2 linked regions of the Struthio camelus genome follow. The protein of the gene in region 1 interacts with the protein of each later gene in a pairwise test. Links are inferred from orthologs where the notes say so. Each region holds a gene or a part of one and is shown in the gene's direction. Other genes may lie near its edges.

Region 1 (7,257 bases):
AAATATTAAATACAGGTTGGAGTATGAGTAAGAGTAATTGAAGCATATTGCACATAATATATAACACAATAGAATGTAGATATAAATGATACTTGTTAAAAAGTCGGATATTTTCTCAAAGCTCCTGAAAGCACAACATTCTAATAGTGATAATCATCTGCAAAGACTTGGTATGGGTCTTACATTAAAAACAAAATATTAAAGAAAGTTAGCAGACTGTAATTATCTTACTGACCTTATCTTTTTCTACTTCTTCTCACTGCCTACTCCTTTTCTATCAAAGGATGTCTCTCTTTCTGTCCCTTTATTGCCACGGTTGGTTTGCATGAAAGACTTCCAGTATGATACTGGCTTTCTGCTTCATTCACTCTTCCTTTGCAAATATCTTCTCCTACCTTGATTAAATCCTCTCAATTTTTGTCTTTCCATTATTTAATTCTGAAGCCCTTAAGATACAGCTGGCATAAAAACAGACCTCGTGCAAAATGTAGCTATATCCTGCTCACATTAAAGGTTGTTTAATTGGTATGAGTCCCTATGTTGTTATTACGTGTGTTTTGAAGATATTCTAAAAGTCTCTGAAAGACAGAAAGAAGGGAAAGATACCACAAAGGCCCTGTTTTGGTTTTTTGTTTTGTTTTTTTTGTTATTGTTGTTAATGCTGAATTTCTGGCAGAGAAGAGTTAGATATAGCTACCTTTAGCTTGTCAAAACTGTCAACTCTGAGGGTTGCTGGAGAACAGGGAAGCCGTCTTTTTCCTTTGCTGCATGTGCAGTGCTTTCAGCTAGATCCATACTGGAATGCAGAGGAGAAAGCTGAAGAGGCTTATCTGACTTGCATATGAATCTTTTTGTTTGCATTTTAAACCTATTCTTATTTGAAATTGGAATTTATTTAACGCATAAGATTTTGCTGTTAACTTCAGTAGCTGTGAGATCCTTGGTATCCAGTGGTAAAATGTAGTTACTAATACAGAAATGCTCGTTGTAAAAACTAATTTCTAAATAAAATTTCAACAAATCCTGAAATTATCTCTCATTTATTTTTAGCCATTTAGTTCGGAATCTACAGTCCCTGACTCAACTGAAGGTGAGTGCTGGGGAAAAAAATCTTTCTACTGCTCCCTTTTCTTTTTGAGCATGAAGACTGATCCCCCGCCTCCTCCCACCCCAGGCCCTGTAAATAAGTTTTGCAAATAATATCAATCTTTCCTAAGGCTTCCATCTTCAGTGTTGAACTTCATATGTTTAAGTATCCCAGAACTATTAGAGTTACTATCTAGAATTCAGGGATTAATGAATTAAGCTGTTTTACTCTCTGAAAAAGACAGAGACTGTAAAAAAACCTTCAGTAACAGCACAGTAAATTCACTGTTTTCATTCTCTTAAGCTCTAGTAACTACTGCTTTTACATGAAGTGAAGAATTTATACTTTACTATAAGAAACTGAGCGCTTAGTTATATTCCACATGTAGCTCCCATGTCTCTGGGAGCTGCTCTTGCTGATGAGGGGATTTAAGTGGATCCTGTTGTGCCTCTAGTCTGGAAGAAAGAAAATGGTGTACTAGTTGTGCCATAGAAATAACTCTTGCTTAATCTGTTCATCCTTATTTATAAAAAGGAGTTTTCTTAGTGATTGTTTTTAACTAGTCTCTGACAGACCAAATTTATTAATCCATATCAAATTTCAAATTAAATTATTTTTCACTAGGTCGGCAGAAACAATGGTAGTTTGGAGGGAGTGTCTTCCCTCTCTCCTTCCTCCTGCAGTAAAATCTTTTTCAGAATCATTTAGGAGTTTTCTTACAAAGGTATGAAAGTACTATCTATCTGTGGCCTAATTTCTGAAGAAATAAATGCCTTCTATTTTCAATTTTCTAGAATCACAATTCAAACCATTGACTGAAGAAACGCTTATGACTGTACCAAGGAGTATCAGAAGTACTGTTAAGCTGGCAGACTTGAACAATTTTTACAGGGAGTTATTTAACCACTTTGTTATCAATAAGAACAGGTAAGACTTGAAGGAATCCATTAATAAGACTCTTATAATCTGTAAAGAAATTCCAGCCTTTTTAAACTGAATAAAAACAGTTGTCAACTCTGAAAGTGGTTAACTATTTGCTGCTCTACTATAACTTCAAAATTTGATTTCCCTCACTTATGCCTTTACTGGTTGGGTATATAGCCCAAAGTGATATGCCCTCCTAGGAAACTCCCCAAATTTATTTATATAAAAATGGTTTATATCGTTTGATAATTTTCAAAACTGCATGTCCAGTTCTTCAGAAACAGATTTTTTTTTTTTTTTAACCTTGGAGTCACTGAACAGATGTCCAAAACTGGGTCTACTCAGAAAAGTTTTGCTGACACAGTCATACTGGAAAACCTTTCTAGCTTTCATAACCTGGAAAAGCAAAACCCTAACCCAAATTCCTCACCTCAGTCCTGACCCCAGACCCTGACTCTAGCCCTTGACTCTGAGCCCTGACCTCTGTCTGTGATTTCTGCTGCAGATTTCTCACAGGCTGATGGTAAAGAATGAAGAAGCTTTTAACCTAACAATTCTGTCTTTGACACTGAGCTTGGACTGTTCTTTGAAGCAGCACAGTGAAATGGATGGCAATGTGCATAAGTGTGAGAATTGCAGAGCCCTTGCAAAAATCAGTCTTCTAAACAGTATGGGCTTTTTAGTCACTCTCTGGCAGGCCTGATGTTTGATACCCTGCTTTGCTGAATAGTTTGCTCTTGTCTTGCAGAGCAGCACTCAGCGTTTCACAGATGAACAAGATGAATATGAAAGCCACTGACTCAAGAGTACGCATCTTGAAGGAACTCTCTGTTGTGGAACTTGACAAACATGGAAATGTTAAATTAGTGGCGTAAATGAAAGCTCAGTCCATTCTTATTTGACACACAAGCATGTTGGTTATAGCTCCTGGATTATTAACAAGGAAGTATTTCTCTGATGTCTGGGAGTTACCAGTACACTGTTAGAAAGCTGTTAATTTTTCTGTATACAAATTCTATTTATAAAACTTAAAATTGCAGAGTTAAACATTGAGGTTGGAAATTTATCTTGGACATTTATAGGTCTATCGTAGATGCATTTTTGAAGAGTATTGTTAACCGTGTGACTTTTCCATATTCCTGTTTACATTCCTGAATGGGTTTTTACAATGAATAACCCAAACCATTTAATTGTACTTACATTCCTGAATAAATGATTAAAGCTAAGGAGGCCATAGATTTAATTATATATGTTTTTAAATGTCCGCTGGCCCCTGACCTTTTCGTTTTGCCTTGATGTGCGCTGTCTTTGTTACAGTCCAATGAAATTACAGGATCACAGAACAGCCGAGGTCGGAAGGGCTCTCTGGAGATCATCTAATCCAACCCCCTGCTCTGCCCGGGGTCTCTGCAGGTTGCTTTGGGTCACGTCCGGTTAGCTTTTGGGCATCTCCAAGGCTGGGGACTTCACACCCTCTCTGGGCAACCTGTTCCACTGTTTCACCACTCTCGCAGTTTAAAAAAAAAAAAAAAAAAAAGAAAAGTTTTCTAGTGTTGAAATAGAATTTCCCGTCCTTCAATTTGTGCCCACTGAGAAAGTAACCGACTTGCCCGTGTGACTCTTATAATTTGTGTTTACTACTGCACTACGGAAAGAGACAATCCCAAAATCAAAGCCAACACTTCAAGGAAAATCCTTTCCCTGCAGAGGATGCAGTGATCAGTGCAGCCCTCCGAATTCACATGAGCCACCTGTTTTTAAGCACTGAACTCTTCTATATACTTTGATATATTATGCGAGTAACATTTTTGTCTTCACTGTCAAATAGACTGTCTTCTGAGTGAAAAATCTGTATAAACATTTAATGTACTTCTGTCTGTTTTCAATAAATGTCATGCGTACACAGATAATTGTTACAAAAGGATCGCAAAGTTTGAGCTTGGATAAAAACAGGCGTTGAGGAGCGTGTTTCTCCTGCAACAACTGCAGGGAGTTTTGTTCAAAGGGCTCTAAGCCTTAGCGATGACAGCAGCTGCCCGCGGGGAAGAGGGCCCTGAGCGCTGCGCCTCTCTGGTAGGTGAAGGGGCTCGTCTTTGATTTCGTTAATACGTAGAGCAGGCCTCAGTCCGGTCAGTTGTGAGCGTTTGTGTCTGACAGGAGGCCGGCGCCGTTGGGGGGGAGGGGCAGCGCCGCCCCTCAACGGCCGCGGGCGGCGAGGCGGGGCCCCGCCTCCTGCGGGCGCGGCGCGTGCGCGTTGCGGCGGGGCAGGGGCGAGCGGGCCCGCTCCCGGCGCCGCAGGGCGGAGCAGTCCGCGCGCCGCGGCGAACATGGCCGGCACCTAGAGGGTGCGCGGCGCTGTGGCACAACCCCCTCCCTCCCTCCCTCCCTCCCATCCCGGGCACTGCGGCGGGGAGAGGGGCCGGGGAGCAGCTCCGCCGCCGGCCGAGCCGCGGCCATGGACGAGCAGAGCGTGGAGGTGAGCCGCGGGGCGGCGGTTGCCGGTGGCGCTGCGCCGGGGGGGGGGGGGGGGGGGGGCGGGAAGGGCGGCGGAGGGCGCTGCCCGCCCAGGTGCGCCTCTGCGGGGCAGCGGGCTGCCGTTCCCCCGCCGGGGGCCTGGCGGGGGGGGAGGGGGTTGGCGATGGCTTCCGCTCCCTCCCGTGAGGGGAGAGCGGCTCCTCTGCGGGCCTTTCCCGCCTGCGACGGCGGTGGGGAGGAAGGCTGCGAGGCGGTAGCGCTTCCAGGCGGCGCGCGGTCGTTTTACACGGCCCGGGTTAGCGAAGGTGTCCGGGGAGCGTGGCAGGTGCCTGTTCCTGAGGTGGAGGGAGACCCTGACACCGGCAGAACCGGCTCTGGCACGCGTGAGGGCAGAGCGCCCTGCGAGAGGAGTAACCTGAACGCCTTGTCTACCTTGCTGTGCTGAGAGCCGAGCCGACGAAGAGTTTAAAAGATGTAACGCGTAGCTTCCTGTAAATGCATCTGTTTGGTTTTACAGCGATTAAAAAGGACATCAGGGTACAGGAGATGCTGTGATATCTGTAAATTGACGATACGGCTCGCTTTGTGCCGATGATAGTTTTAACTCTGGAGGGAAAAATAGCCCATTTGAAAAAATCTTTCAAAGTTCTTTAGGTAAGGCCAGAAGGGATCTAACTCCTATATAATACAGGCTGCAAGACTTTCCAAACCTTACTCTTGTTTCTTAGAATGTGCCTTCTGGCAAGTCATGCAGTCTATATTTGGAAAATCCTTATTGGTGAAAAATCCATCAGTGTGACAAGCAAATATGGTTTGATATTTTGCAATACTTTCCTAATTTTGGGAATGGAGAGAGATGAAGTGGTTATATTCAAGAACAAATTACTTCTCTGTTGGAATGGGTATAGTGAAACAGTATGTTAAACCAGATTTTATTGCCCAAGATTAATTTAGTGGGGGGGGGGGGGGCAGAGAAATTGTGGATCTAATGGTAATGGTAGACCTTAAATTATTTTAAGTCTTACAGAAGTCAAGAAAATAACCTGTCCAATTCAACCCTTCTAGTTAACATTCTGTATGATATATACAGGTACTTAATGTGCTTTTGAATTGGTCATAGCGTAGCCAGTACATTGAAATTCATAGGCTGAGAATCTGCATATACAGCACAGTTGTTTCTGGCAACTGTCAACCATGGGAATACAAATAGGAATAATGGCTCTTGGCTACAGAAATGCCTAGTTGGTAAAAGATAAATCCAACAAGGAAATTCTTCCTGGAAGAAGCATAGCGTTTTAAAATGGACACTGAGTGCTGGTGGGATGTAAAAGGAAATGAGGAAGAGAGCCATGATGTTTGAGCCGGTACCCTACTCCAAGATGCAGTATGCATAGCTGTTTGGAATAGGACTCTATTTATTAAACCTGGCATTCTGCCTAGAAAATAAATGTTTGACGTTTGTGGCATAACAATAGCATTAATCTAACCTTTGCAGAGCATTGCTGAAGTATTCCGATGTTTTATTTGTATGGAGAAATTGCGTGATGCACGTCTGTGTCCCCATTGCTCCAAGCTATGTTGTTTCAGTTGTATTCGGGTGAGTTTACTTAACATAGTTTACTCTTGCACATGTATACACTTAAAAACTCAGAGCTACTGGTCTTAAGAACGCGTTCTTGCTCTTTTCCTGTCTCCTTTCCTGGGGTTCTGAGGATTCCTTTTTCCTCCTCTGTGCTCTTTATTTTCCCTTTCAAAAGCTTTTATGACACCCTGAGAGACTAGGCATGCTGTGCATTATATAAAGTAGTGCTAATTATAGTGATTATCTGTAAGAATTGCTTTTAAAGAACAGGCATATGATGGCCTCTTCTTTAACACCTCTTCAGAGTCAGTGATGCCTATATGGACAGAGGAAGAAGTTGGAACAGAAAGCAAATACTGATCTTTCAGATGTCTGTATGGAACACTGAAAGGTCATAACATTTCCTGTCATCTTGGAGGTGTTTTAATCCTGTTAAATACATTTTGAAAATAGTTACCAACCTGGTATGACATGATCACACACTTGTTAAAGCCTTCTTGAGGGAGTCTGGTATAGTAGGCTGAAGCAGCATCCAGAGTATTTTAATTCACTTACTAGGGTGATAGTTACCAATATATAATACTTAAGTTCCAAGTCCAGACTTTGCTATGTGTAGTGGATTAAATAAGGGTTCAGCTGAGGTTTTCAGACCTGGGATAGTGTTTCCAGAGCTCAAAGTAAACAATTATCACCTTCTTTGAAAGCTCTGCAAAGAACTACATGGGAGGTATTCATGCTACATAAAAAGAATGTTAGATGACCTATTGTTGGTGTGTGGCAAGAGATAGTTTCAACAGATATTTTCATGGAGAACCTTTAAGCGTAGTAGTGAGCTGACAAAAGATAAGCCTCTCAATTGCTGAACTTTTTAAAATGTGTAAGTTATACTGGACTGCTGAAGTTCCTTCCTGAGCTACTTATCTTTGAATGAAACTTTCTGGAAGAGAAACATTCGAACAGTCTATATAGATTTGATAATTGGACTGCAGATTTATTACTTGCGTTGTAAGTAGCCCAAGAAGAAAGAAATAAGTTACCCTGAAGACGAACATCTAGAGTAGGAAAAATGCATCTGCTATATCTTATGCTTTCTTTTGTTGAAACGTGCTCTTTAGTCTATAACTGTGGGAATCTGCAGTAGGTTTTCTCATGGAATATTAGGTACCTGAAGATTCTCTTTTTAAGTTTA
Region 2 (7,465 bases), on another chromosome or scaffold:
GGCTCCTGTGCCCCTAGACGGGACGTTGGCCTAAAGCGTCCCACACCGCCGGCGCGGACACAGGACGAAGAGTCATTCGTGCAATAAAGCTGGAGTCCGTAGGGCAGCCGGCTTCAGCGGCCGAGCCCAGCCTCAGACGCGGCCGCTGACGGGGACCCGGCCCCGCAGCCCCGCGGGAGACCCAGGCTCCCTTCCGTTGTTTGGAAGCGAACTCGTGCAGCGGGGTTTTCCCAGTTAGTGAGCAAATGTTGGGACAAAGCCCTCCTTCCGCTTGCCCTGCCAGCGGGAGGCGAGCAGCTCCTCGGCGGGTCCGGGTGCAGGTGGAGTGCGAAGTGGGAGAGCCCCCTCCAGGCCCACGACCCCCGCGTCTGCCTGGCTGATCCAACATATCCACCATATTTCCTACTAAGAGGAGTTTCCCGCATCTGCCATCCAGCGGTCCCAGCTGAATCCTTCTTTTTCATTCTTTTTTTTTTTTTTTTTTTAATGCTTCCCCTCTCCCAGACGTGAAGGAACTGGAGACCTTCCTGACGGAGATCAAGGACGGCACCTTCGTGCTGACGGCCACCTTCGACGACCCCGCCACAAAGTGAGTCCAGCCCCCGGGAACGGCTCTCCCAAAAGCCGCAGCCAAGATGGGGATGAACCAGAGCTGCTGCTGCTCCTGCCGCCCCGTCCCCCCATCCCACCCTGCCCGGACAAGGCTCCAGCTCTGCACGCACGATGGCTCCTTTACAGCCCCACTGCAGAAGTGCAAGACGGGATGGGACGGGACATGCCCCGCGGCCTTGTACGGAGGGGACGCGGGGCGGGAACGGGGCAGCGGTGGGGGACGCCGACCTGGCACCGCGCTGAGGTTTTCTGACGTCTTTTCTTTCATCTTTGAGGATGAACGACAAAATCCGGATGCTCTTTACCAAGCTGGGCAGCAACCACGTGAGCAAGCTGGGCTTCCGCGACAACTGGGTTTTCTTAGGAGCCAAGGGGATGAGCACAAAGACCCCCTTTGAAGAGGTACGGTCGCCCGTGCGCTCCCGTGGTGGAGGCTCTCCACCTCCCCGCGGCACGTCTCATCTACCCGCTTGCAGGCGACGCAGGCCGGCGGCGGCATCCATCGCGTCAGAGCAGTCCGCAGGCTTCGCCGCCCTGCGATTTCGCCCTGCCACCCAACTCCCCATTTAGTTCCTCGTTTTCTTCCGCAGCACATCAAGAACAACCAGGAGACGAACAAATACGACGGCTGGCCCGAGGTGCTGGAGATGGAAGGCTGCGCCCCGCGCAAGATGGACTAGCGGGGCGCGAGCCCCCACCGTGGTAAAGGCTGCTCCGGGCAAGCCGGTCGCGTTGAACCGGCTCCGGCTCCCCACCTCCTGAGCGCCGTATCCAGCACCGGCTGCCTGCTGCCAAACGACGGGCAATTTCGTAGCAGGGACTGCGCGGTACTGGGAAAAGCGGCGTACCAGACTCCCTGCCAAGCCTGAGCAAGCGTCCAGCCAGGCTTCACCCAAGCTGTTCTAGCGTGGGTCAGTTTGGGGGATTTTACTTTTCTGTCTTTAAGCCACCAAGACTTTGCAAGAGGGCTTTTAAGTTTTAAGATGGCCAGTTGCCAATCACTGCCTTCTTACTTCCCTTTTCAAGTGTAATCTGCGCTTTTCCCTGTCTCTCGCCTGCTGGGTATCACCGGGGACCATCCCGCGGTGAACGGCAGGCCAGCCCTGGTGATGCTTGAGCCTTGGTGGCTCCATCCGCCGTGCCAGGAGCTCCCACCGGTCACCCGCGGGAACAGGCACCCCGGGGACCCTGCGCACTCAGAGGGAAGCTGGCCGGGGGCCTCCGCTGCCGTCTCCTACAGCCGCAAGGGAACAGCCGGACGGGCTGTGGGGATGCCTCGCGGCAACGCAGGTCACGCGTTCGCAGACCAATGCGTTTCCCCCATCCCGTTGCCTCTTTCTTGGGTTAAACCCCCCTGTCCGCTCCGCGTCACCGCACCAGCGGCGAGAGCGATGTGCAATGGGTACAGCAAGCTGAAATTGTGCAACATAACCAATAGGTGGGAGCCTTTTACCGGGAGAAACGGGATGCCGCCGGTCCCAGATGTCAGCCTGGCTGCCGGGGACGCAGTCCCACCTGCAGCCCGGGACTGGGAGCACTGGGCTGCGGTGGGAGCCGGGCGCAGGTCCGGGTGCTGCTGCCGGAGAAATCCCTGCTCAAACAGCGCGCGCAAGGGCCCACCGGCCTCCTGCCGGGGCCGTTCCCAGCGGATCTGAGACCGCGAACGCCCAGGGAGCGCCTGCCCCAGGCTCGGGGCAGACGGCATTTACCCCTGAGTGCCGCTCGTGCCCCAAACCACCCCCGCGCCAGCGCGGCTCGGCATCAGAGGAGCCCAGTGGGCGATGGCCCAGGCTTATCTGTTACTGTAGATAAGGACAAATCTGCATCACAAACAGGCTTTAATTTCCTCCATCATATCCGTTTCCCCCCCCCCCCCATTCTCAAAAGGGAAAAAACACTTTTTGCAGAGAGCAAAGGTGGAATATTCCTGTTCCAGCGTTTTGGGTTTAATAATGCAGTAAAAGCGCCTGGAAACGAAGGGTTATCTTGGACAGCCTTTCCAGCATCCATAACAACGGGCTTCGCTCCCAGAACAGCTTCTAATGCACAATTCACCTCAGTTATCGGAGCCCACAAGTTATCCCAGTGGGTTTCGCCTCCAGAGAGGCTAAACGCAGCCCCAAAAGCCCTGCGTCACGCGGGACCTACGCCGGCCGCTTCGGCGGCGCGGGGGGCTCGGCCGCAGGGAACCCCCTTACGCGGATGCTTTTCCCAGCCCACACTAAGCTGCAGCAGAGACGCACGGAGCAAAAAAGGGGAAAAGCTTCCCACTTGGCCCCGTAACGGTGACGGCCTGATCTGTGCGCTCCTGACCCCGCGAGCTCCCCGTGTCGTATGTTAGAAGAGATTAAGCGAGCTGAAATTTTTCCCTAAATAAGGCCAAAAAAAAAAAAAAAAACACCCTCAAAATGAGCTGCGCGATGCCTGTAAGACCTTCCAAAGACAAAACTAAACGAAAAACCCCGAGCACAACCACGGCAGAGGAACACCCCGACGGCTGTGCCAGCTGCATTCAGTATTACCCTCCTTAACGCGCGCCCAGCTGCCACGGAGGGACGGCAGCACCGCAAACCCGCTCCAGCAACAGCCGCTACCGCCAAGCACCGAGCCCCGCACAGCCTGGCCAGCGGTGACAAACAGCAGAGCTCAGCAGGCAGAGCAGCCCCCCCGTCACACGGCCTGCGGCGCTGCCAGCACAAATATGCCGACTATGTTAAGCCCCCTCAAAGGATCTCGATTCCTTCGTAAGCCAAATTAAAGGCAGGCTATAAGCCGTGAAGGCGAGCGCGCGGTGTCACCTGGGGTACAGGAGACCGCAGCCCCCTGTCACCCTCGGGGAGCTCTTCCTGTCCCTTCACGACACACGTTATGTTGGCTTTAAACCAGACGCCTTTCCAAGGGGTGTTTATGTCCCAGCACCCTATAGACAGCTAAAACCGGCTTTGGATGCGTTGCTGAGCGAGCGCAACGGCACACCACAACTGTCCAAAACCAGCAATCGCGTTTCAGCTCCGTTTAGGGACGCTAATCAGAGACCAGCGCTTTGAAGAGCCGTCCTGCCAAAGTCAGCACATCGGGCAAATAAATCAGAGTCCCAAAGGGTATTCGGGGACATAAATAGGGCTTATTCTTCAAAAAAAAAAAATCTTAAAAAAAAAAAAAAAAGGGGGGTGGCGGACGCAGGGATAACAACTCCCAGAGGAGTTTCCTGGTGCCTCAGCAGTTTAGCATTATGGCCAAGCCGGGGACGGTACCTACCTGGACGATAACCTCGCGGTGCTGCATCCCCCCGAGGCGTCAGCGAAAGCGAGCCCTGCCCGGCGCCCCTCGGGGTCCCGCTCCGGGTAACCCGGGCTCAGCCGGCGGCAGCCAACAGCCATCCTGGCGCATTTGCAAAACCCCCGGCAGCGACAGAGCCCCGCTGCAAAGGGATAATGCTGTTTTCCCCCCCTCTCGCCCCCGCCGCGGCACCGGTTTCTTTCGGCAAAGCACCAAAGCAGCCGCCAGGAAGGATGCTGCCCGTCGGCAACGACCTACAAGCACCGGGGACGGCAGCTCGCGGCCGGTCGGAGCCCCGCGCCGGGCGAATCCGCGTCCTGTGACATCTTGCCCTGTCAAGTGCAATTACCGTAATCTTCCACAGCCTCTCAAAACACGGGTCCCGGCTTAGAAACCGGGCATCCGCGGCATGAAAGCTGCCTTTGTGCCCAGGCAGCGCCTGGGCGCCAGCCAGCCGTTAGGTGCACGAAGAAAATGAGTTCTCCACGTGCTGGGAGACGGGAGGAAAAGAAAGCTTTCCGGCTCGGCCCCTCCGCAGCCCGGCTGGCTTTCGCCTGCGTCTCGGCGCCGGAGCGGCCGAGGGGCCGGGAGCTGCGGGCCCGCGCGGCCCCCCGGGCTTAACGCCGCCGGCGGCCGCGGGAAGCGCGCACGTCGCGCCATGGGAGCGGCTCACGGGAAAAAGGTAACGACGGGGCTGTTTTACGCCGTGCTGCGGGGCGGCCGCGAAGGCGCCGGCGGCTCACGCGCGGCGTGTTTTGCCCTCCGCGTGCTGAGCCGGCTCACCGGTGTCCCACGCTGGCGGCCAGGTTAAGCGAGGCCACGCGGGCGGCGGGGCCCCGCCGGGAGGGCGGCGGGAGCAGCGGGAGGGAAAGGCCGAGTTGGGCCGTCCGCGCGGCCGACGGACGCGGGGAGCGAGGAGGGGGCTGCCGGGATGGACGGCGTCGGCGCTGAGCCCAGCCGACGTCTCCGTCCCCCCCCCCGCCACCGCTGCCTTCCCGCTTCCAGCCTGGCTCACGCAGAGGGCGAGCTAGCTCCCCTGCGGCACAGGGCTCTTCCCTCCGGCCACGCGCTCCGGCACAAACTGCGTCTCAAACCGATCTCCGCTGCAATAAACACCCCGGGGGCACCAGCTGAGGAAATCGGCCCCCCGGCTCGGGTACCTCCCTCCGCATCCCGGGCCCCACAAGCGCTCCGTAATCCCCCCAAGCGTTTCCAGGCCTGGGAATCGCCCCCAGCTCCCGCCCCAGGGCGGCGATGCCCCGCGGCGCTCGAGAGCTGCTCCCTCTCCTCCAAGGAGCACGACCCGTCGGACAGCCCCGAAAGGAAACAGTGCGTTAAGGAGTCAGAGCCGCGCAGAGACGGCTATAGATATTTACATCGGGGATTTAACGTCGCCTTGCTTTTCCGCCTGAGGAAATTTGCCCCTGGGGATAACGTCACCTCTGTACAGCGGTGCTGCCCTGAACCAACGCTGGAGTCTCTTCTGCCGCTTGTCCCCCAGCTCCCTCCTCGGCAGGGCAGTCGTGCGCCACACCAGGTCAGGGAAAACTGGTGGCTCTTTCTGATCACGTAAGGCTACTCTGACTACAAGAAGTTGCTTGAAGACACGTGTTGATGCTGTCAAGAGCACTATCAATAATTGTTGGTGCCACCTTGTCCAAACAGATTGAAGCAGCAAAGCTGGTGGCCTTGCAACTTCTGAAAGGCTTCTCGAGCAACGGGAACTTCTGCTCCGTCCTGTCACCCTCCATCAGAAAGTTAAAATGAAATTTAAAATGGAAAATCCCTCAAATAAGGAGAGCCAGGCCAGGACCCTGATTATAAACAAGCAGCACCCAGTGATCCACAACTGACACCTGATCTTCATCCGTTTTAAACCAGACTCCATCTTAATTGGTTTACATAAAATGAGCCAACCCACTAACTTGACGGAAGTCAATGAAATAGGGTTCCCCACGTGCCTGGGAAGTATTCTCCAGCAGTTACAATAACTGGAACGAAAAAAAATTATCATCTGTACCTTTGATTCTAAATAATGCTCGGTGTTTAATGCCACGTGGTCCCGGAAGGAGAGCAAATCTGCCTTCAGAGGCTGCTCAGCATCTGAACGCAAGCTAAGACCGTAAAAGCAAAACCCGGGGACAGGTTGAGGGAGCGAGCCCGGCACGGTGCGGGGACCTGTTCCTCAGGGCCCAGTTTAGTGAGAGTTTGCAAAACAGGCACGGGAGCATGAGGAGAAACTTCTCAGCTTCTTTTCCCTGTTATGACCCTTACAGCAGAGATGGTCCGTGCAGAGAAGGTAGCTCAGGGTGATGTCCCCCCAGCCACAGCAACTCTGGTCTCCACTGTGATGTCCTCCTCCTCCCCCTCTCCATGGAGGGCATCATCCCCGCACGCTCAGAAGAGCATGGCGAGGTGTGGGTCCCGGCGTGCAGAAGTCTGCGCGTCTGCTGTGCTTTCTGGCTCTAGCGTCGGAAGGTGTTGCAAGAGAAACGCGCTCAGAGGCGACCCAGAGAAGGGGGGGGGGGGGGGGAAAGAAAGTCAAAGTCAGGGCTGGGCTGAGACTCACAAACATTTCTTTGTTCTCCTGGACCTCAAGGACTGAACGCCCCATCCCAAGCAGGTGCTGCTCGCAGCCAGCCCGTCTCTCTGCGAGCCTGTCAGAGGGGCCGGCGCTGCCCTGGTTTCGGGTAAGCGCCGCTCCAGCTCACGGAGATGCCGCGTCTGGGTCGGGCCAGGGGCATGCAACGGTTCCCAGCAGGCTCAGGAGGGTCCGAGCCCTGCCTGCGGCTGGTGCCCAAGCCATCGCTCACGTGGCCGTCAGCGCCGTGCCCTCCGGGCCTTGGCGCGCTTCTGCGGCTGTTCCTGAAACCGAGGAAATAAGCTGGTTCAGCAGCTTGGCTCAGAGCCACCCGCTCCAAGCTGCTTTCAGAGCTATCGCTCCGATCCTCCCCTGCCCCCAGGCCAGGGGCTTTTGGACAGCTTTCACCCTCGCTCCCTCTTCCCGAAACACAGCGATCCTAAGGCGGCCGGTGCTGAACGGCCCGGCTTCGAAGCGCGCCCGCCGGCTCTGCTGGCCCCAAAAAGCTCGGGGACGGTTTTCTTCGGCGGGCGTCACAGATTTCACTTCCATCTCAGCTCCCAAACGTCGCCCAGTTTGACCAAAGCGCGCGGCCGGCGCCGAGCGGGGACGTCGGGCTGGCGGCTGGGCGCTGTACCCGCGGCCCGACCCTGCCGGCGCGGGAGCAAAGGCTCCTTCTCCCGTATTTCCCGGGCACGCGCGAAACGCGGCCTCCGGCCCTCGGGCAGGGCCGGGTCAGCAGGACGCTGGGGACGCCCTGCCCAGCGGGTGCCCTCTCTCGCGGCAGCGTTTGCCGGGCAGCCGCGCGGCCGGGGCAGGGAGGGTTTGCTCAGCAGCCGAGCCGCTGAGCCCTGCGCCGGAGCCTGCCTATTATTTTTACCCACTGCGCTTAAAAATCCCATGAAACCCTAAAAAGTAGCCACGTTTCCCCGGCACTCACCCGCCCTTGCACATTTTCCACCAGATTTCCCACCGCTCCACACTCGTCCCTCA

Evidence for each region.
Region 2: the proteins of TRIM37 (region 1) and FAM107A interact in binary tests that used the Homo sapiens proteins (3 or more experiments, as listed by UniProt). The two-hybrid records come from large-scale screens. The link is inferred for Struthio camelus from reciprocal best matches to the Homo sapiens genes TRIM37 and FAM107A.

The regions. Positions count from the first base shown.
Region 1 is NC_090957.1:18,435,127-18,442,383, reverse strand, and holds the start of TRIM37 (E3 ubiquitin-protein ligase TRIM37), read left to right. Parts: upstream 1-4,253; 5' UTR 4,254-4,466; coding exon 4,467-4,487; intron 4,488-5,981; coding exon 5,982-6,083; intron 6,084-7,257. Other genes in the region: SKA2 (spindle and kinetochore-associated protein 2), read left to right, coding at 1,051-1,090, 1,882-2,014, 2,760-2,886. UniProt on the Homo sapiens protein: E3 ubiquitin-protein ligase required to prevent centriole reduplication. Probably acts by ubiquitinating positive regulators of centriole reduplication.
Region 2 is NC_090955.1:10,447,754-10,455,218, reverse strand, and holds the start of FAM107A (actin-associated protein FAM107A), read left to right. Parts: upstream 1-4,457; 5' UTR 4,458-4,549; coding exon 4,550-4,573; intron 4,574-7,465. Other genes in the region: protein FAM3D, read left to right, coding at 505-589, 888-1,014, 1,203-1,292. UniProt on the Homo sapiens protein: Stress-inducible actin-binding protein that plays a role in synaptic and cognitive functions by modulating actin filamentous (F-actin) dynamics. Mediates polymerization of globular actin to F-actin. Also binds to, stabilizes and bundles F-actin.